Lepisosteus oculatus: one gene and its partners. The protein of the gene in region 1 interacts with the protein of each later gene in a pairwise test. Links are inferred from orthologs where the notes say so. Each region holds a gene or a part of one and is shown in the gene's direction. Other genes may lie near its edges. The genes, in order: necab2, ccdc146 and tex11.

Evidence for each region.
Region 2: the proteins of necab2 (region 1) and ccdc146 interact in binary tests that used the Homo sapiens proteins (3 or more experiments, as listed by UniProt). The two-hybrid records come from large-scale screens. The link is inferred for Lepisosteus oculatus from reciprocal best matches to the Homo sapiens genes NECAB2 and CCDC146.
Region 3: the proteins of necab2 (region 1) and tex11 interact in binary tests that used the Homo sapiens proteins (3 or more experiments, as listed by UniProt). The two-hybrid records come from large-scale screens. The link is inferred for Lepisosteus oculatus from reciprocal best matches to the Homo sapiens genes NECAB2 and TEX11.

What each region holds. Positions count from the first base shown.
Region 1 is NC_090715.1:4,213,261-4,220,772, reverse strand, and holds the start of necab2 (N-terminal EF-hand calcium-binding protein 2), read left to right. Parts: upstream 1-4,433; 5' UTR 4,434-4,474; coding exon 4,475-4,777; intron 4,778-7,512. UniProt on the Homo sapiens protein: May act as a signaling scaffold protein that senses intracellular calcium.
Region 2 is NC_090702.1:33,919,883-33,927,475, forward strand, and holds the start of ccdc146 (coiled-coil domain-containing protein 146), read left to right. Parts: upstream 1-4,518; 5' UTR 4,519-5,317; intron 5,318-6,376; exon of another isoform or gene 6,377-6,394; intron 6,395-7,593. Other genes in the region: protein FAM185A, read right to left, coding at 135-244, 3,853-4,300. UniProt on the Homo sapiens protein: Essential for sperm flagellum biogenesis and male fertility.
Region 3 is NC_090703.1:50,026,584-50,033,920, reverse strand, and holds the start of tex11 (testis-expressed protein 11), read left to right. Parts: upstream 1-4,305; 5' UTR 4,306-4,496; coding exon 4,497-4,524; intron 4,525-4,969; coding exon 4,970-5,091; intron 5,092-6,567; coding exon 6,568-6,652; intron 6,653-7,028; coding exon 7,029-7,108; intron 7,109-7,337. UniProt on the Homo sapiens protein: Regulator of crossing-over during meiosis. Involved in initiation and/or maintenance of chromosome synapsis and formation of crossovers.

The sequences.
Region 1 (7,512 bases):
GAGGACAACAGAGGTCAGAGAGCCTTTAGGGAACTTTGGTCGTACTAAGCTGTGTTTTGAAGTGTGCTTTGAAACTGTAGTTTAGACTGAATGCAAGAGATAATTTAATAGAACTAAAATGCAACTGGCCAGGTATGGAATCAGTAGAGAACGGACAGCACGATTTTAAAGATATTCTGCTTGAAGTGCATAACACTCAGATTTACGACCTAAAGAAGGAAAACCAGTGCCTGGAAATTAAGTAAATTAATAATATGTAAAAGAAGAAAGAAAGCACTTTATAGAATGAATTGAGTACAATTTCCAATTTAGAAAGAAATTGAGTACAAGCAAAGGCACGCATAAGAAACACCAGGATATTAGAAATGCAAGAGAGACAGAAAAGAATATTGCAATAGAGGCAAAAATATAAAATCAGCATTGCAACAGCAAAAGTACAGCAAATGATGAAGTATCTTAAATTTACTAATGGGATAATTTCTGTTAATGAAAAGGAAATGGACAATATCTTAATGAATATTTCACACCAGTGTTTATGCGAAGATTTAGATAGAATCCAGAAAGTGACATTTTGAAAGCCTGTTTGTTCTAGATATAGTACCCGCTGTGTAGAGGGTAGATCTCAAATGAAGTTCAGGAAGGACAATGAAAAATGAGTGAAAAACGCCTGTTTTTTCCATTTTGTCTGCTGCATAGCTCCTCCACCCCATCTCCACCTCTGCAGCTGCCCCTTGGTCACTCCTCACTCTGGATGGGGATCCCAGCCTCCTCGTCCTCTGGCCAGACGGCTGCCCCTCATCCAAGCAGGTTCACCCCAAACTATCCCACTTGAAATACTCCTAACATTCACAAAGCGCCTGATTCTCAAGCGTTATTATTCCTCTTGAAATGTATTGGAGAGGTTGTGGGAGCCCTGTCTCACTCACTGCCCCACACTCTCATGTGTCTTGTGTCTCGTTCCTCCACAGCGGGCTCCTCTTGCCCCCGGTGGACAGTAACGGTGATAGATGGTGACGTCTCATTGACATTTTCTTTCACGGGCAACTGTTTTTGTCCTCCTCAGCCACCCACTCATCTTCACATCCAGCTGCAGTGCACAGCTGCCCTGACAGGTCTAGAGCAGTCACCCCTGTGCTCTGCCCTTTACCGGGGCAGATCAACACCGGCCACTGTGAAGGGAGACGTTGCTCACGGCAAACGGTGCAAACAGCACCCAGAAAGGGGACCGCTCGCTCTGAGCCATTCCGAGGTGAAAGTAACAAAGCAAACTGTGAATCTGGCATGTGCGAAAAGCAATTAGTGGAAAGAGTGCCATTGGGCTGTATCTGTTAAAGTTGCCAGAGTGAGATGAGAGCTGAGAGTCAGACAGGTTAGCAGTTTGTCTGCGGAGATGAAGCATCACTTCAGTTTCAATGGTCCGCTGATGGCTGAAGTGATGAGGTGTACAGTATGCCTTTATCATTGCGATTGCAGCTTTTTTCAGCGTGAATAATGAATTTCCCGGGAACGTACAGTAATTAGTGTGCTGTCTGATTAGCATGTTGGTCATTAATATCTCAGTGAATAAATTCCATTTTGGATATTTTAGAATCACACTGTTCTTTTGCTTCCAAAGTGCCAGCTGATGATTTGTCTCCAGGCAATTCAGTCTTGAATCATTTCACTGTAATTGCAATTGTAATTTGCAGCAGCAATTGTTTTTCAACAATTGTCTCTGTCATTTGTCCTGTTTTCCTTTTAACCTTCTCGTATTAGTGATTCCAAAGAGTAATCATTTTTCTGGGTTTTGCTTTTCTTCATAGATATCTACAATATGCTTTTATCAACTCTGAAGCAGAATTTGCCAACAGAAACACACGGTGTGCTTCCTTTATTTTCTGCTCTTTGTAATTGTGCTTTCTGTGTTACAGCTGGGGTGGGCCTCATTAGACACTGCCTGGCAACGGTACGAAGAACAAAATCATGGAACAGGGACGCAGAAGAGAAGACCTCCCTGCTGAGATGCAGGCGAGTAGTTTTCGCTTGATGCTGGATCAGTAAACAGGCACAAGCTGAAGGTCAGTTTCAAGCTTGTCTCTCAGACAAAGCGATTGGTTCGGGGAGTTCACGATGCTCTCTGGGTGCTTTCATCACGGCTGCTAGGGCCTGTGGGCGACGCACTGTACCTTCTGCCCGGCACCCGGACGGAGCACTCTGATTGGATAACAGTTACCCTCTGGGCTTTCCAGCCTGAGAAGTAACAAGAGCAGGCAACGTCTTCACCATGGGCTGGCAGGGCAGCGTGGGTTTGACGAACCCGAGTTAAAAAACACCTCACAGACCCTGGGCTCATAAAACCCAACGGGCCCCACCGCTGTGATTAGGCCTCAGCCCCCCTGGGAGAAAGAAATGCACAGCTCCTCTAATAACACTGACACCCACTCTTGGCCTGATTGCCAGCCAATTCCTGGAGCCTTTCCACAAGTACAGTATATATAATCTCAGTTTTCACTGCGATTTGAGGGCTTTGGTCTGCGTCCGGCATGATGAAATCAGTAATGGCTGCTCTCATCAAGGGGGTAAGCTTTCTTCTGCCTTTATTTCAATCAACCCCCTTCAGCTTGACGGCAGTATATTATAATGGGCAGTTGTATCAGTTGACATGTGAAGAATTTTGCCCATTACTTTTAAGTCGATATTATTGTGTGCCTTTTGTTCTCGTATGATTACTTCTGTTAGCTGGTTTAATGTCTTTTGTTACAGTATATGCACGATATAACACCCTCAGCTAATGTCTCTTAGTTCCCAAGCGAGTGCAGGAGGTCTAGGTTGGTTTTATCTTACGTGCTCTGCCTGCACTGACCAAGCAAACCTGGATCTAATTGCTTGGGACATCCATGTCAGTGTAGCATCCTTTATTTATTTCCCATTGGTTTCTTTTTTTTATGAATCAACAGGAGCGGAGCGTCGAAGCAACGCCTGCTAACGCAATCCGAGCTGGGAAGAAAGCTCACTGAATGGCCAGCTATGTCTTTCTGCTTCAAGTTGCCATTAGGGCTCGGTGGGAGTCCGTTAATTAACGGCATGAAAGGGCAGAGTCGTGGCGCCTTTTAACTTAAATGCCACCCTGGGCGGGCGAAGCAGTCCTCTTCAGAGAGTGCTGGACTTGAAAGGGAACGGCACAGGTGTCTGCATCCCTTGCCTCTATCGATACTTACATTCTTGGAGAGGGATGTGTCTTCTATCTTCACAAGTCACTACAGCTATAATACAAAACAAAGGGGGAAACAAATCACAGGACACACACTGTGTGTCAACACTGTAATGTGGTATTTTACATTTACTGTACAGGAAGGGCTATTTAAAAACCCCGACATCGTTGTGCTATAAGTGACACATACCCCTGTGTAAAAGCGAGTAAGAGCGTACAAGCAGTGATAGAAGAAGGCTTAGTGGTGTATCTCATGAAAGTGCCACTGTAAGCACTGATCCTTTGCATGGATATCGTCACATTGACATTGTCTTTGCAGTACAGTCTAACTGGCTACCCCTGTCTAACACAGAAAGCGTCTGAATTTCCAGATAAGGGGCTGTACTCATGAAAGGGTTGCTGCAAATGTAATCACTTACTTAAAAGGAATAACCTATAAATGACAGCTGAAAAGCATTAGATACCAGTACGTATGATAGAATATACAGCTGCTATGCGCGCAAATGTTATTCTTTATTAAATTCACGGGTTACACCTTTAAAGTCGACAGCTTTTCAAATGAAGGAACCGAAGCACTGAATTCGGAGAAAACGCTCTATGAACGCAGATTAGTGTCATCTGGTCCTGATAGCCACGCCACACCTGACAAAGAAATGCGTGGATTTGTTCAGTTGCTTTTGGAAATGTAAAACATTATGATTTTCTTCGGCAGAAAAGGTTCAGCTGTTCTGACCTATCTAAGCCACAAACCTTAACAAAACACACGGTCTACGCTTTTATCCTCAGCGTTGCAGTGTCCTAGTTGGGGAGTGGACGCAGTCTGCTGTTGTAGAGCTACACAACAGCCCTGCGCTGATACTCGACAAGTAAAGACGACGGAAAAGAAAGAAAAAAAAACTACCCTCAGACATGAAACGCAATTGAAAGGTACAGATTGTTGTTATTGCTATAACTAAGCAAAACAAAATAAACCGTGAATTTAAAAAACAAACAAAAATTCAGAAGCAGTAAGGTGTCGTTTCTACTTGGGCTCACCTTTTATTGCTTTCAGAACTGCCTAGAAAGGTTGTGTCCAGCGATACTAACGCCAACGAAACTTCTCAGAAGTTGCGGGGCTTGTATGGCCGTTTCATGTTGTATGAGCTGGAAATGCTCGCCATCGCAAGTCAAAAAGCTTTTACCCCCCTGTCGTAATGATGTAAAATGAGAGAGGTGTGTTTTTGGGGTGTGTGCGGGGTGATGTAAGCGGGGTGGGAGGGGAATACCCCATAGCTCTCAGCATGAATGCTCTCTGGCGAAAGGATGTGTGAGCAGGCAGCCCGATACTGCAGGGACGGCGTCCACAAACTGCTCCACAAAGAACAACCCAAACTCGGGGCTCAGAACAGCGAGACAGCAACGGCTGCACAGTCAGGCAGCAGCGGAGCCCAGCTCGGTGGAATAGACGGGCTAGTCCGCTGGATAGTGACGAAGATGAGCGACAACAAGAACATCTCTCCCCGAGAATTCCTCAAGGAGGAGCCGGGGGCTGCCCGGGAGCAGTTCTTCAACCCGGAGCCTCGGAAGGGCATCTCCGTCATCCTGGATGTAGGTATCTCACTGTAGCGGAGCGGGGTGCTGGCTGGCAGGAAGGGTCCGAGAGACTAACGGGGGGGGTAGGATAGGGTGTTTGAACTGCGTTCCCTTGCACAACGCGGGCGCGCACGTCTGAGGCGTTAGAAAATAAAACGGGGGAAAAAAAGATAACAAAAACCCTCAGTGTGGTCGAAATTTGCTTTTGATTTTGCAGCGCTTGCTAGCCTCTGCGTGTTCGCACCGACAGATCCGAAAATGGGACATAGGCTTTTGCGGGAATCCGGCAGTAGACTGTTTGATGAGTTGGCTGTCTTAAGATTCTAGGTTTATACATTGTATCGTAAACATACAAACATGTACAGGGGTATACATAATATTAAAGCTGGGATCTTGTTGTATTAAATTAAAAGCGAATGTCAAACCTAAGCTATTAGAGTGCATCTTCGCTGAAAAGAAGGGATATAAAAAAATAGTTTTCCGTCATTTGCCCTGTCTTTGGAAGGGATTTAAACAACTGTTTCAAAAGACACTAGAGACCGGTATAGATGTCAAATAGTGCATCTTCAAAACTTTAAATATGAAAAACCACGGTGAAACTAGAAATTCTAAACGTTTAATTTCAATGAAGTTTTCAAACTGAAATTAAAAAGTACAGAAATCTGACAAAAAGAGACGCCAGAATTGAACCCTTCAGATAATTAAGGCTATATTTTGTTCTCTTCTATTCTAAGGCTATTCTATTGCGGAGCTCCTAGCGTTGATCGGGCAATTATGAATCGTGAAAGAGTCGTATTAAAATTCACTACAGTATATAGGATAACGTGGCCTCGTGCCCTCAATTCAATTGCTGTACAAAGGTAGAAATCTAATGAGATCAAATCTGATAACTGTGCCGTGTGATCAGCAAAGGTACAGTGACTGTCAGATTCTGTGTTCAGAAATGCATTTAACAGCTCGGGTGAACCCAGCAAGCCGAGACAGACAACATTGCTGTGGTTCCTACAGTTTGGCGACTTTCACAGATCAGCCTGAACTCTCCGCAGCTGGAGCAGCGCTGAGCGCGCCCGTCCAGGCTTGATAACAGCAGCGCTGTCCAGAGCCCAGGCCGTCCTGCACAAGACAGCACTGCTCACATCGTCAACACTTCTTACTTGAGCTAAAAAGGTTAATGGCGTCTCGGAAAATTAATTCAACCTATTTTCCCTTGTTTTTGTTGTTTTCAATGCCCCCTTCTTAATGTTTTGTAGTGCTTTTTGTATCTTTTGTTAGCAATTGCCTTACACCAAAAACGGGCATTTTATTCTGATACAAAACGAAAACAACTTTTTTTGCTTTCATTCTTTTGAATACTCTGCTCGCATAGCCGCGCAATTGTGTTTAAAAACATTATGGATCACATCTCCGGATAGACAGGCACTGGCAAATCGATGGTATGAAACAGAAACGCGTTGATACTTCTGCAACGTTGATTATTTCTTCGCGTTTTTTAAAAGTACAGGGAGGTGTCACATACTGTATCTTTTTTCATTTGAAGACAGAAGGTGTCCAGAGCCCACATTTGTCTCGGGAGAATCACCATTAGTCTTCTCTCGGTCGGCTTTTACTGTATGTAATCTCTCAATAATGTCTTGGAGAAGACAAGCCAGGCTGTATCTCATTAGTGAAGGGAGAGGATGGGCAGTTGTGTGTTCTCGCACGAGTGTCCGAGCACCTGCGGTCCCACCTATTCAACCTGATGCCACCCACAGCAGGGTAGTGATTCGCCAGGTGAGACCCACAGACGTGGATGGCTTCGTCCATGTGCCCCTTTCCCTCCTCTCCTTCGCCCACCGGCAGGAATAAAGCTCTTCCGTCCTTCATGGGACAGTCTCCCACGAGAGTGGCAGACGGAAGATGTCCTGTCCACAGCACCAGCAGTTAGAAAACAAAAAGAGAGAGGACACCATCCGCAACTCTCCCCTCTCCTCTGCTAAGAAAGATCCACACACATTCACTGTCTCAGCTGTCACCTGTGAGGGCTGGAGTCTGGAGGACCTGGGCACTTTGCTTCAGGTGTGCATACAGAGGGATGGAACACCTCAGACAGGTGGGGGTGAAATAATATTGAAGAGTGTCTGGTGGAGAGTTTGAAAGAATGAGCAGCAATTTACAGACTGAGACTTAGAGCTCCCGGTAGTCCTGTAAAGAGGATTGTGCAGGCATGTCTTAAAAAGGGTGAAGCAGTGGCTCTGTGGCTCAGGATCTGCGCCTGTGGCTGGAAGGTTGCTGGTTCAAATCCTGCGGCCAGCAGAGGAATCCTACTCTGTTGGGTAAGGCCCTTCACCCCAGCTTCTCCAGGGGTGCCGTACAATGGCTGACCCCGCGCTCTGACCCCCAGCTTCTCTCTGTCTCTCTGTCTGTCTGTCCTCATGGAGAGCAAGCTGGGGTCTGTGAAATGTCGAATTCCTAATGCAAGAAATTGTATGTGGCCAATAAAGTGATCTGATCTCTTATCTTATACTGTAGGTCCAAATTAGAGATGACAGTACAGTGTAGCAGTGGTTCTGTAACAAGGAAGGAGCCAGGCTTCTCCTACACTTACAGTATCTATCAGCACAAAGCTGATACTCTGTAATGTAAGTTACTGTTAATCCTAAACCTCATCAGTAACAAGTGCCTCCAACAAAGGAATAACTTTCAGGCTGTGGTGACAATTGTACAATCTGCTGCCCCATATTTAATGCTCCTAAAGTACAATTTGAGCCTCT
Region 2 (7,593 bases), on another chromosome or scaffold:
CTGGGTCAGGCCAGGTCATCCAGAATAACTTGTGAAGATTTCAGGGCATAAAAAAAGAAAAATGAGGAGGCAAACTGAACCTTTCCAGCAAAACAGCAGTTGTTCTGCTGACACAGGCTTTTGCGCTGCATTACCTTAATTGACTGCAGGAGGCTCTTTCCCCGCTCTGTTAATACTCTGCAGTTGTCACACTCCATCTTCTGAATCTTCACATTTCCTGCTCCAAATGTTGTAATATGCAGATCTGAGTAGAAACAGAAAATGCACACGTCATGAAATAAAGCCATCAAATTGATTTCACAAAAAAAATCAATGAGCAGAACAACGGAATTGATAACAGTTTTCATCGTTGCTACAGTATGTTGCGGATCCATGTGAAGCTTAATCCCTTGGAGAGAAACACAGATTCGTGATTTTGCAGTACCGCAGGATTTGCCCTCTGCTGTTAGCACACGGTTCCCTGGACACTGCAGTCTCTGCCTGAACACTCCACCTCCTCACATTACAGAAAGGAGCATATTTACAGAATGTTTATAAGAGATTGAGCGAGACATTTCTGAATGTTTTTTCCTTTGTTTGTTCTGCCTGAGAAATGCCGCAGCATTTACCGATTTCATGTACATATTCAATAATTCATTTCTGTTTTAGTTCAACACAGTATCAAGAATACCATTCATCCAAAAAACAAAGTGCAGCCACAGAGGACAATGGAAAAAGTGAGCACCATTTAGTCGTAAAACTATAATTAAAATACAAGTAATAGGTTTATTCCATGCTGAAAAGAGAAGAAAGAAAACACACCATTTTGGCCGTGGAGAAAGAATGAGTTACTAATAAGAAGTAGCCATATGGTCCAGTTACTGTAGCTCGTTTGTTAGGATTTAATAATTCCTTGAAAAGATCCAGGATACCAAAAAATGTGCCTGGGTAGCTTTCAAAGGACTCCCATAACACTTTATGTACTTAAACTTTCAATCAACGTAATTTTTAAAGATTAAACTACATACAACCTCACAAACTACTAGACATGCGTCTTCAGAAAGAGCAATTCTTTCTTTTGGACTAAGAGCTACAGTAAGTAATGAGTCAGTAAAACCTGCTCTACTGCAATGTCAGTCAAGGCCCTGTGCTTTCCAAACTGGACTCCTGAATCTCTAAGCTGGTTTCCTTGCAATAGCAGCCCTATCCAGACCTCTCCTGCTCATGCTAATTTCACCTCTTTACCTCAGAACCTGCAGCTCTTGCTCTCCAGACTCTTCACTGTCTATACTGTATACCTATCGCTGGCCAACCACCCCCCTGTCCTCTGTGTTGGGTGTGATTGCGTCTTTCCTCCATACCCTTGCCTCCAAGTGCTGAAATCATCTCTAGCTACCTTCTATCACCTCCTTCGAACCTGGAATTCACTAACCTGATTGCAGTTCTGAATTAAAACCTATTTTTAACTGCAGCAGTGCTATACTTCATATCACCTGCCCCCAGCTAGAGGATCAGATTCCACCTTTCCTGACCTCCCTCTGTATACTATCTGCAGTGTGTGCAATGGGTGACAGGAGGGCAAATATTGAAGGTGAAAAATGAACGGTTAGTTTTATTTTGGAAAACATTGCTTTTATTTTTGAAGGTGAGCAATGTTTGCATTAAAATGAGCCCATAAAAGTAAGCAGCAATTCACTGTTACACTGGGTGTAAAGAGATCTGCAAACCATTCTTGAGCCTGGACACCTCTAACACACAGCTAACAGCCGACAAATCAGCAGGAAATGTCCTGGCCTTTATATTCAATTAATCAGTCTGGGATCTCTGAAGGCAATGTTGTGTTGGCACTGCTGCCCAGCAACTCCTTTAATCTTGTGGGCAGTTCAGACAACAATTTTATAATTCCCTGACAGGTTTTAATTGTTTTGTTTCTTTATATATTACTATAAAACGTATAACTGCTTAACCTTATCCCCCTAATTATTGCCTTTCAGATTGTTGATCTGATAAGTCTTGTCGAAAGTACTGTACATGATAGGGAACGGGGTAAGATGGTATCCATGCTATGCACAGGCTTGGGCCTGACTCTAAATTCCTTCAAAACAAAGTGCTACAAAATTTGTCATTGCCAGGTTTCAAAAAGAACACTGCTGCCCTGCAATCAGCAAACTGCCAGGTTAATATATAACTGGCTTTTGGAGTAAAAAAAGCTATTTAACTATATACAGTACAAATCTGTATTTGTAGGGAACTGCTTTCACAATATCCTCCAGGTAAAATGGGAAGACAATGTTTTACTGTAATGTTTTACCAAATGATGTGAGTAAATAGGTCCACTGCCCATCAGAGCTGCTGCAAGTAGCTACCAGTTCACAATTTAAAACTGGCAGGCCACTGAAGCTAGGCAGGTGTGAGCCTGGTCAGTACCTGGATGGGAGACGTCCTGAGAATTCTAAAGTTGCAGCTGGAAGAAGTGTTAGTGGGGTCAGCAGGGGGCGCTTACCTTGCAGTCTATGTGGGTCCTAATGCTCCAGTGTAGTGACTGTACTGTAAAAAGATGTCATCCTTCGGCTGAGATGTAAAACCGAGGTCCTGACTCTCTGTGGTCATAGAAAATCCCAGGGTGTTTCTCGAAAACAGGAGGGGGGTTACCCAGGCATCCTGGCCAAATTTCCCATTGGCCCTTACCAATCATGGCCACCTAATAATCCCCCTATATGAATTGGCTTCATCACTCTGTTCTCCCCACTGATAGCTGATGTGTGGTTCTGGCTCACTATGGCTGCTGTCGCATCATCCAGGTGGATGCTGCACATTGGTGGTGGTGTAGGCCAGTCCCCATTACCTGTAAAGCGCTTTGAGTTCAGAAAAGTGCTATATAAGCGTAAGGAATTATTATTATGAATTATTATTAAAACGAATGGACATTAATGAAGGGAACAGATGTGATAGGACTACTGAGAGACTCTGATCAACGAGTGATGAACTACTGTAGCTAAAAATGTATCAACGGAAGAAGAATCGCCTTAGTTGAAACACGATAAGGTTAGAAAGAAATGAATCCCCAAAACAAGTCAGCTCAAGTCTAGAAAAACTTGGACTTAATGATTTAATGGAGAATTCTCCCTACTGATTCTGAAAATTCAAAGATAGAAAGAGCATACAGAACAGCAAGCACCACGAAAAAAGACCTCCCTGTTTGCCAAGACAGGCCGAAAGGAACAGACAATAATTGTTCTGCAATACAACAGTAAAAACGATTAAGGTGGAAGTAAATATTTTACAAAATAACAGATAAAGAGCAAAAGTGGATATAATAAGAATACATCTGTAACCTGTCAATGCTATAAGGAGTGCCACTAGCATTGAGTGATTTTAGCAGAACTGACACTGAGGTTTTAGGGCTGGGGCAGCTTAAAACTAAGAAATTAACAGCACTTCACTATTCATACAGAAGAAAATGATGGGCATTATCCATAGCCTCTTAGCTTGGATATGTTATGTAATCTTAAAGGACACCATAACCACGGACTGAATAATTATGCTACTTCACAAAAGGAGAATACGGAACGAGGAAATTTCAGATCTGAAGTGCACAAAACCAGTCCTGAAGAGGTTTCTGATTTTCAAGCCCTTAATTACTGACCTCATTATTTTCTTAATAGGACAGGCTGAATCCATTCCTTGTTTTTGGGAAACCGGAGACTAAGGAGATCTATAACAACTGCTGGACAGCCCTGCTATAGAGCAATTGTCGAGAAAGATGGACCCAGTCGTTTCCTCTCATTTGCAACCTGTCTCGAAACCATCTATTAAACGGAAGTCCTTCATTTGTTATCCTTTTTATTAAAGCGTATTTATATACATACTCACCACTTTTAATTGGAGCAGTCACTTCCACAGACACGTTACTATTGACCTTTTCTGACAAAATCAACAATTCCCTTTTCTGTTCGTAGTACTTGACATGAAAGTTGTCTAGTTTTAGTCCTTGATCTGCGCTGGTGCCATGAACAGTTATGAAAGCCCTGTCTGCCTCCGGGAAAGCGTGGAGGTCCAGGGGTCGTACAGACACATTGCAGGGCAACTGGACTCTCACAGTACTGAAGGGGTTGACTATCAGAGTCCACTGTTTCAGAGGCTTGTTCAACTCACGGGCGGGACTATGAAAACAAGTTGTTGTTGACAGTCCTCTGAACGCGTACAAGAAAAACGCGTTCGAAAAAATATTTGTTTTATAGTTTGTGAGAGCTTTCCATCGCGCAATCTCCTGGTACAGTCCACGGAACAATTTCTGGGATACAAAATAGGAAACAATCATGTCTGCTTCTTAAATCTATAAAAGAATAAAAGAAATTTAGAGCAAAACATGCACACCACGAGTTTTTTCCAAAACATTGAAAAGCGTCACACAGACCTCCCCGGACATGGACAGAGAGTGCTTCTGGGATTTGGAGTTTTAAGCATGTTAAAATATTAACAATGTCTGCTCGAACAAAACTTTAAAAAAAACGATTTGTAACAATACGATTTATAAAATAGTTATGTTTAATTATTTTGAAAAAATACTATATTTCATTTTCAGTGTGATAAATGTGATACTTAATTTTGGATACAACAATTACCGTGATGGTACAGAATGACTACAATGACCATATCGCCTTACAAATACGTTTGCAGTCTCGTCTCTTTGTCGACATACTGACAGACTAAGGTTTTTCAATAAAGCTACTACACAATTTCCCTGACAGGACAACAAGGAATGTCCGTCTTCGCTCCACGCCTTTTTAAATAAAGAAACAATAATACAGGCTTCCAGTATTTTTACAATATTGGCATAGAAATGCCAGATCAGTAACAAGTGGCACCTCCTTGGCCTTCACGTTAGGGTTCTGGAGTAGTAAGAGATTTCTTTACAACAGTGAATCATTTTTTAAGAGTTTAAAGTGCCTTTTACTCTAACAGTACATTTCGGACCGCTTCAAAACATTTGCCTGTGTCTTTATATATGAAAGAATAAAGGCGATAACACCTTCGACTAAACCATAGGCTATACTTCGGGAGATTTTTTGGGATGGTCGCTTTCATTGGCTGCTGTCTAGACTGGCACTTCAAATACCAACCAGATTCAGAAAAGGCTTTGATTGCGTGTTGTCATGGAAACGCAGAAGCAAACTCCGGCGAGGCCGAGATTGAGTAGCAAACAACTCGAAGATCTAAAGACACTCACCAGGCTTTTAAAAAATACATATTTGCAAATATTTTCTTTCATATAGGCTTAACCAGGAGACTGTAAACATAAACATAGGGTGGAAGGTGCTTTTGAGCGTTTCCCCAGGTAAGACATTTTAAACAGATTAGCCCTTTTGAAGCTGTCATTCTCTTAAAATAGTCATTATTGGTAGGTGTTTATTATTTATACTGTATGTATTCAGCGCAGAAAAAAAAGTTTGATTATAACGCACTGAATAAATTAAGATATGCATCCATTTTATCACACGTTTACGTAACGGAGAATTTACTGGAGTAATGTGTGTGAGTTTACCATGCTCACGGGTATAATAACACTGACGTGTCGGTGGGGACTCCACAGCCGCAGGTTCCACATGCTCACCACTCGCTCCACGAGGAGCTTGGGGTTCTGTGCGCCCTTAAAGTTTTAATTGTGGAATTAAAATGAACTTCATCGAGCTTCTTGTTTTGCATGACTGACGCTGTTCATCTCAAATGTAAAAAAGTGAGGGTTGAGACGGCGCTTTGAAATGGATGGGCTGTGCTCTTTTGATAATCTGATCACCAGTTTAACGTATCTGACGATTAGTAAGCTTTCTTTAATCAGCTTTATTTAATTGGCTAAGGTTATTATTAACGTAATTATTTATGTTAACAAAATAAGTGTTTATTAATATTACGTCACTGTGAAAAAGTACAGTAATTGCTCACGAACAACACAGATGCAGTATGTGCACCCATAACGTGGATGCACTGTAATACCGTTCTTCAGTATCTGTTTGCTTCCAGGAGGTGGCAGTAAATGAGAACTGTTTGAACACTTGCACAATGTTAACACGTATGCCGAGATCGTTGGGGATCATATCTGCAATACGTCAAGTAATCTCAAACGAAGTGTTTACTGTGCTGTAAGGGTTAATGAAAGCAAAATGCGATTTCTTGTATATTAACGCCAGTCCCACCTGAATGTCACTTTAATTGTTTTTATTTTCTTTTCTAAAGGTTCGCAGTGGTAATTGCAAAATTGATGAAGGTCTAAAACTACGGTGTTTGAAATTAACTGTGATTTTGTAAATGTTTACATCTGCATTACTTGTATAATGTTATGCTGAATTATTTAAAATACCTGAAAAACCGAGACTACATGTTTACACATGGCATTTTGGAGAGTACTTATGTTATGGTAAGTTTTTCTTAAATCACGCATTGTGCATTGTTTAACAAACACCAGTTATTGGTTAATTTAAATCTAGAGGATTGGATTAATTTTAACAGTGATGGCAAAACATTTGCATATATATACTGTATGTGTTCCGACACCACTGCAGTTTGAAGACATCCAGTCGAAAAAAAGTCCAGTATTATTCAAACTTTAAAATCACTATTTTCTGAATATATAGCTTTCAACAAAAGCCAAGATGTCCGGACTCTTAAGGATGTGTTCTACACTAGTAGGCAGCCCGTTGAGCAGAGCTTGCAAACGGATGACATTAAGACTGTTAGTATCTCGTCTCATCCCTCGCTTGCTCTGCATGAATCATGCTGTACCAACCGCTGCCTTCAAACTGACGTTTTTGGAATCGTTTTTGCAGAGACTTAACGAAATGAGGAATCCCCTCTTCCCACATTCAATCGCACTATTCAATAATACGCAATTGAATGTTTATGGGCAAGTGCAATTAGTGGATATTTGCAAAAATGAAGGGGTATGTGCAATTACAGGGGCTCGAGCTGATTGAAGAGTGAGTCAATTTACAGGTTCTGGTAAATTGCGTGGATTCCTTTAGGAGTGGTGTGTAATGACTATGTACAGTATGTGTTGATTTGCTTTATTTAATGTTATATTTATCTGTTCTATTAGTATGTGTTTTGTATCTCGGTGTATAAAACTAGCTGCTTGGATGTAAACAAATTTGTGAGAAATCAGACAATAAGGTATCACATCATATAATGTAAATCATATCATATGTAACATACATTTATGTGAATTTTGAGCAACAGTTATACATTTACTTCTGCATATTCATTTTGCAGTATTCCACTGTATGTTCCATTTTCCTGTTTCCTCTTTGATGAACTGGAATTAGAGTATGGAGAAGAAAGAAGTAAAGGAGATTTTGTACTTAGCTGAGCCATGATACGTAATTTTCTCTCAATACTGTTAACACCAAAGCACTTAATTTATATAATTGTATAAGGCTGCCTTCATTAAAAAGTATGTCTGCCAAATTTTCATTAAAACCGACCACACTGAAACACTGAATGATCATGGTGAGACCTGGAGGTGGGCCAGAGTTTAACGAACCCATTCTTCTTAAATCAATGTTCCGCTGTGCAGTGGGAACCTTAATGGGCACATTATGCAAGACTTTCTTCTCTGTA
Region 3 (7,337 bases), on another chromosome or scaffold:
TTTTTTTTTTAGAAAAACAACATGATTAACATGCTGCTGTTTCTCTTTGGGTTAAATTGCCCTTGGAGGGGTGTTTTTTTTCCCGTGATTAGGCCCTCAGCTCCCTGCCAGTTCCCCCGGGACAGCGGTGATTGCAAGATAAGACTGAAAGGCGAACAATTGGCGGAAGCCGGGAGCTGAGGGGAATGAGCTTCAAGACGTTTTATTTTAGAAGCCGGGCTGCGAAATGCCATTTAGAGGCTCAAACAATTCTGCTCGCACAGCTTGAAGCCCTTCCTTTAATCCGACCACGCAGCTCACATGCACAAACGGAGCGTAGCAGGGGCAGGACAGCCTGGCTGCAGGGAGGCCAGCAGACGCTGCCTCCCTGTCCGCGGGATATTCTTTAGTAGGGAGCAAGGGGAGAAGTGAGCAGCTCTTGAAGGGCCATTACTTTGCTATTGTGCTTAAATGTCCAGAAGCTGTTTCGTAAACGAGCAGCGATAGGTTTTTACTTTTCACTAAATAATGTCAAGCTTCTCCAAGAGCAATAATAAGCTAAATGTTTACTCTCGAACAAAGCTTGTTTCACCAGTTTGCAAAGATTTTGGCATGCCTGCTGAATGTATGTCTTATACACGTTTCGGCCTTTGTTTAGAACACAAAACTAATTCCTTAGCGAAACACCCAGATTCCTGAGCCCTTCTTGGGTTGACAGATTTTGACAGTGTAATTCTTTTCCCATTAAAGAAAACAAACCTACACAGTATAAGAAAAATTGAGGAAATTTAGTAATTCATTCCATGTGATGCATACTACCAGCATATATATTCTTCTGTTTCCCACAAAGCTGAGACTTATTAAAAATAGTCTCCTTCAAGCATTTTTGTAGAATCAAAGCCAGCCTTTCCACTTCTGTCATAAATGAACGGTGCTAAAATTGTAGCAGAATGATGATCTCATTGGTTTACGGGCTTTTCAGTGTAACCTGTTAGAAACCCACTAACACACAACCTCGGCCGTCTGCAATAGTTTTAGTACCTACGGCAAACGAGCACAACTAAACCGAGAGTAATGCCCAAAAAGACAAACTTGTGTTTTTCATTTCTGATGTCGTTTTAGTAGTCCCGAGAATCAGTGAGTGGAAGTTATTAACTGAAGTTCGGGAAGGACAACAACGACAAGTCAACCTCACTGAGCTGCACCTGATCACCATCATCACAGAAACTAGCTACATGAACGGAGCTCAGACACCCCATTCATCTCCAGCATCCCTCCTCAACCCATCTCCATCCCTCAGCTGCCCCTGGTCACTCCTCTCTGAATGGGGCCCAAGTTCTCCGTCCTGCACCCCAGCAACTTCATCCAGACATTCCCAGTGCACCTGCAGTGGCTCCTGCATGTCCCCTAGTGAGATCAGAGTGCAGGCGGGATGGGTGCCGGTCTGCTCCACCGGGGTGACTCACCTGGCTGAGCGAACGGCAGGCTGCCCACGAGGGGTACCCTGACAGGACCCCCGCTCCCTCTTCTCCCCGCGAGGGACGAGCCAGGAGCTGCTGCAAGGAAGGGTGAGGGTGCGAGAGGGGAGGTGAGAATGGAGCTCGCAGGTGGGAGGAGCGGGGTATTTACTGTACATGTGGGCAGCCGGAAACAGGCAAGACCGGGGCTTGGCCTCCTCCTGAGCGTTGGTTCAAGACTACATCTGGTGTCTGAAGCTCTAGCGTGCAGCTAAGGAAAGGTTCAGTTTCATATCAGGAGGGGAGGTGGAGGGGGGGGGCTTCTTTTCTTCTGATACCTGCGAAGCTCAAAAGCCGAGATGTGCCACCGAGCACCAGCACAGATGGCACAGGCACAGGCACAGGCCTCAGGGACGATCACAGTGCCCCAGCGTCCAGCGGGATTGGGTCTGCCCTGATCTTTGCCCCCCCTGCCCCCCCACCCCCGCCAATGTGAAAGTCACACCCTTCCCGCGCGAAGCCATACATTCACGTGCTGTAGTTCGTGTTGAAGTTATAACAGCAAGCAAATATCTCTCAGCTGGAAACAAGGTCTGGACTCTTTCAATGACAATCTGTACGTGCACTTAACTATACCGTTTATATATTGTAACGCAACGGGGGCTCTGGCGGGCGCCCTTGCCGCATTTAGTCAGCCCCCGACGGTGGAACCCAGGACTCCCGCGTCTCTCTGCAGTGACCCAGCCCGGTGAGCCAAAGAGAGATCTCTCCACAGCCCAGTAGCTGTAGTCCTGCTATCGCAGGGAAGGGCGGCGACGTCACCGCTCTGGTACGCCGGCTCTTACACAGTGCCTGTCGGCCGTAAGCGTTACAATATTTAACCCTACAATACAGGTACAACGGTACTCACACAGGGCCAGAGCCCAGATTGACCCAAGAAATTACATTTGCAGGCTGAGGGCGGAGGAGAACATCAAGATTCCTGTCTCAGTTCACGTTGTATACCTCATCTGTCAGCACCGGTTCCCAACACTTCTCAGACATGAAACGTATTTACACGGCTTCGCATCGAAACAGCGATACTTAATTTGTCTCCTTTATGTTCTCCCACAGGCGTACCGGATTTTATACAAATGGTTTTGGGAGGCATGCGACGCCAGCATCATTTCCTATGGTGTAAAAAAAAACAACACAACTGGCCAAATGAATGACCTCTGATCACGATAAACAGACACGATAAATAGGCTGGGCCTCTGCCAAAAATATTCTAACAATTTCTTGCTCAACCAAAGAAAAGCAGCCAGAGCTCAGTGGAAGAGCTGACAGTACAGCGTTTTCATTTGTAGGCGGCAGAGGAGAACAATGGGCCTCTTCAGCGCAGATGAGATGAATGGAGTTCGGCGTGCGCCAAACGTCAGCAGAAACATTTTCCATTTTCCAGCCTGTGTGCCAGTTATCACCCATTAAAAAAGGAAACAAGGCACTACTGGGAGCCTCTTAGAGTAGAAGGGTGTGGTCTGAAATTCAGAACAGGGTGTCTGCTGTCACGGAGTTAGCTGAGTCTGACAAGTTATAACACTGCGGAGTTCTAATTCTATTCTAATATGATCTAATAATAATTCTTTACATATATATATAGCGCTTTTCCTTACACCCTGCTCAAAGCGCTTTACAGGTCATGGGGATCCCCACCAGTGTGCAGCCCCACCTGGATGATGCTCCAGTCTGCTCCCCACACACCAGCTCTCAGTGGGGAGGAGCGCAGAGCGATGAGATCAATTCATCATTCCACAACCACTCCACACAGGAGCCTTGATGTGAAACTGTGAACATGCACAATCACAGATGTCAACTCATAAGTAATCTTAGCTCATTGGCTAACAATGATTCTGCTCGTCCAGTGGCTATTCAGGGGCGGTGTGGTGGCTCTGTGACTGTGCGCCTCTGGCTGGAAGGTTGCTGGTTCAAATCCCATGGCTGGCAGAGAGATCTTACTCTGTTGGGCCCCTGAGCAAGGCCCTGAACCCCAGCTGCTCCAGGGGCACCGTATAAATGGCTGACCCTGCGCTCTGACCCCCAGCTTCTTTCTGTCTGTGTGTCTCATGGAGCGCAAGCTGGGGTATGTGAAAAGACAAATCCCTAAGTTGTATATGGCCAATAAAGTGATCTGATCAACTGATGAGCAGCAGGTCAAAGCCTCTTTGCTCAGCAGTGCCTTGTGAACAACAGACCAGTAGCTCCTACAGTGACAGATGCTTTACACACGCCAGGGAGAATTATAGTCATGTTTTCAACGGCGTTTTTATCGATCAATTCACGCGACTCGAAACACGGATTGGAATGAAAAGACTTTGATGTGAGTTCTTGCGGAGTTTTTTTTTGATTTAGCCAGAACAGATAACACGGGATCGAGCTCCCCCTAGCGGCGACTTGGATACAGACGGTTTCTCCGGGATAATATACTGACAACAGCAATAATAATAATAATAATAATAATAATACAAGTAACAGGTTTATTTCATGCTGAAAAAGAGAAGAAAGAACACACAACGTTTCAGCCGTGGAGCCTTCTTCAGGTGTGAATAAACCTGTTACTTGTTCCTCTACAGCCTACGGATGCTGACGCAGCTCCCCACCTGAAATAATAATAACACGTTTATAACCTTGGATAATTTCTAACATATAATTTTAAAATTATAATGAAGATATAAGCTTTTCACAATCAGTGGAATTTCGGACCAATATTCATGGAAGCCGGTTTTTTTAGCATTTAAACTTTAAAGGAAAGCGAGGATTAACTGCTTTGAGACTCCCGGGGAAACGGAACTCCAGGCGCGCGCGCGCGCGCGCGGCCCGGCGCGAGGCGCCGACAGGCTCGAGGCCCAGCTCGCGAGCTCGCGGCCGTGGTCGAGACGCCGAAAATATCAACACATTAAAACTGCGCGTCTTTTTTTTAGAGGGGTTTTAATTATTACATTTCAGCCAAGCAAACCTTTTGAAAAGCTTTACAGCTGCGCCTTTTCTTATAAACTCATCATATTTCTTTTAGCTGTCACCGACATGGACGACTTCATCTCGAAGGTTAAAGGTGAGGAATATTTTCGGTCTGAATTTAATTTAAACTCATGAGGGGAAAAAAATATGACTACATTTATATTCAAAATGTGTGGAAAACGTGTTTGGGGACGACATCACGTTTCACTGACGAGGACGCGATGTGATTTGTTTGTGATTGTATTCCAAATGGGCTTAATGACATCATTTCTTTTTCTCAAATGTGGGAGTTCAATTTTAACTTGTAGTCCATTTGTCCCGTAAAAACAAAACATCATAGTACAGGACATGTATTATTTTATGGTCGCTGGTTATTTTATGGTATGTCGCCATGAAGAAGATTAGAGAAGGAAAACTGACTCCAGAAACTCGTGGTGGGTCTTAAAAAGCGAACTTTTTAAATGACCGAATATTATAAAAAAGGGTACCATCAGGTTCCTTACTATTCATGTCTGTGAATTCATGTAATTCACGCGTAGACCTCACCGAGGAGCTGGTGCAGAAGCAGACGCCTGGCAGCGCGGAGCGGCTCATCGACAGACTGTTCGGCGAAGCGGCTCGTCTGGACGGCGAGCTGGCGGGGGAGGTGCCCCAGCCGCAGGTGAGGCTGAAGGCCTTATAGCGCCCTCTAGTGGAGAGACGGGGGTGTGGCGCTGGAGTGATATGCGCCCTCTAGTGGGAGAGACGGGGGTGTGGCGCTGGAGTGGTAGCGCCCTCTAGTGGAGAGACGGGGGTGGCGCTGGAGTGGTAGCGCCCTCTAGTGGAGAGACGGGGGTGGCGCTGGAATGGTAGCGCCCTGCAGTGGGAGAGACGGGGGTGGCGCTGGAATGGTAGCGCCCTGCAGTGGGAGAGACGGGGGTGTGGCGCTGGAATGGTAGCGCCCTCTAGTGGAGAGACGGGGGTGTGGCGCTGGAATGGTAGCGCCCTGCAGTGGGAGAGACGGGGGGTGGCGCTGGAATGGTAGCGCCCTGCAGTGGGAGAGACGGGGGTGGCGCTGGAATGGTAGCGCCCTGCAGTGGGAGAGACGGGGGTGTGGCGCTGGAGTGGTAGCGCCCTGCAGTGGGAGAGACGGGGGTGGCGCTGGAATGGTAGCGCCCTGCAGTGGGAGAGACGGGGGTGTGGCGCTGGAGTGGTAGCGCCCTCTAGTGGAGAGACGGGGGTGGCGCTGGAATGGTAGCGCCCTGCAGTGGGAGAGACGGGGGTGGCGCTGGAATGGTAGCGCCCTGCAGTGGAGAGACGGGGGTGTGGCGCTGGAATGGTAGCGCCCTGCAGTGGGAGAGACGGGGGGTGGCGCTGGAATGGTAGCGCCCTGCAGTGGAGAGACGGGGGTGTGGCGCTGGAATGGTAGCGCCCTGCAGTGGAGAGACGGGGGGTGGCGCTGGAATGGTAGCGCCCTGCAGTGGAGAGACGGGGGTGTGGTGCTGGAATGGTAGCGCCCTGCAGTGGGAGAGACGGGGGGGTGGCGCTGGAATGGTAGCGCCCTGCAGTGGGAGAGATGGGGGGTGGCGCTGGAATGGTAGCGCCCTGCAGTGGAGAGACGGGGGTGTGGCGCTGGAATGGTAGCGCCCTGCAGTGGGAGAGACGGGGGGGTGGCGCTGGAATGGTAGCGCCCTGCAGTGGGAGAGATGGGGGTGTGGTGCTGGAATGGTAGCGCCCTGCAGTGGAGAGACGGGGGTGTGGCGCTGGAGTGGTAGCGCCCTCTAGTGGAGAGACGGGGGTGGCGCTGGAATGGTAGCGCCCTGCAGTGGGAGAGACGGGGGAGGCGCTGGAATGGTAGAGCCCTCTAGTGGGAGAGATGGAGGTGTGGGGTTGGAGTGGTAGCGCCATTGTTTTTTGTGTGCAATGTATCTGATAGGAACAATCCAGTAAATGACATCAGTTGTACATCTTAAAAACCTCTTTACTCTCCATCAGTCTTATTTATAATAAAAAAACACTCAGAGTAACAGCCCTTTTAAAGTATTAATTCTAATACTGCCTGTTAAAGAAAAGGGAAGTGTTTTAAAAGTATTCAAAACAATGTGCTCAAAAACCAGGATGCAGGCACACAGTGTGTACAGTATTTTTAATTTCTCAGGCTGAAGAACATGCCATTAAGCTGTGGAACTGGGCTGTTACGAAACATGTGGGCTCTGCAATCACTGAGGAGCAAAGAGCAAAAGGTAACAAACTCATTCTCTCCAGATGAAATTTTAAATCAGCGTTATAAAAAACTACCAATGTACTCAGATTTGTGTTTCAATGTTTTATTGAGACCACAAATTAGCTGAATTTGCCAATCTTTTTCATAGCTGAATAGCCAGCATTGCTGTCTCAGTAATGTACTGTTGATGCATTGGTTCTAGGCTCCAGTGTAATTTACTCTCCTAATCTGTTTAATGCTTTAACGTTGCACATGTGGTCCTTTTCTGTTTAGATTAATTTAAAGCTTATTCTTTTCTTTAAAGTAATATTCAGGGTATCATGTTTTTAGACACATTACTGTTTTTCATTCACTGCTGTCTTTGGGTCCTGCTCTTTGTACAACATACGCTGCAGTACGTCATGTGGCTTGCAGACTGGCCTACGCGTATGAAACTAAAGACTTGTCAGAGGGAGCGATTCGCAGACAAATCCTGGTGAGTCCTTCCTCTTACCTGCAGACCTGTCGCATGCCAGACCTTGCTGGTCTGTCTAGTCTGTATTAGCATTGCTAGAACATACTATTCCTCCTGGGAGGAGCTAAGGTTGCTGCTGGAGGAGGTGTAAGCAGAAACAGTAGGGGGCGCTCATCCTGCAATCTGTGTGGGTCATGATGCCCTCGTATAGTAATGAGGACACTATACTGTAAAACGCCACTGTCCTTTG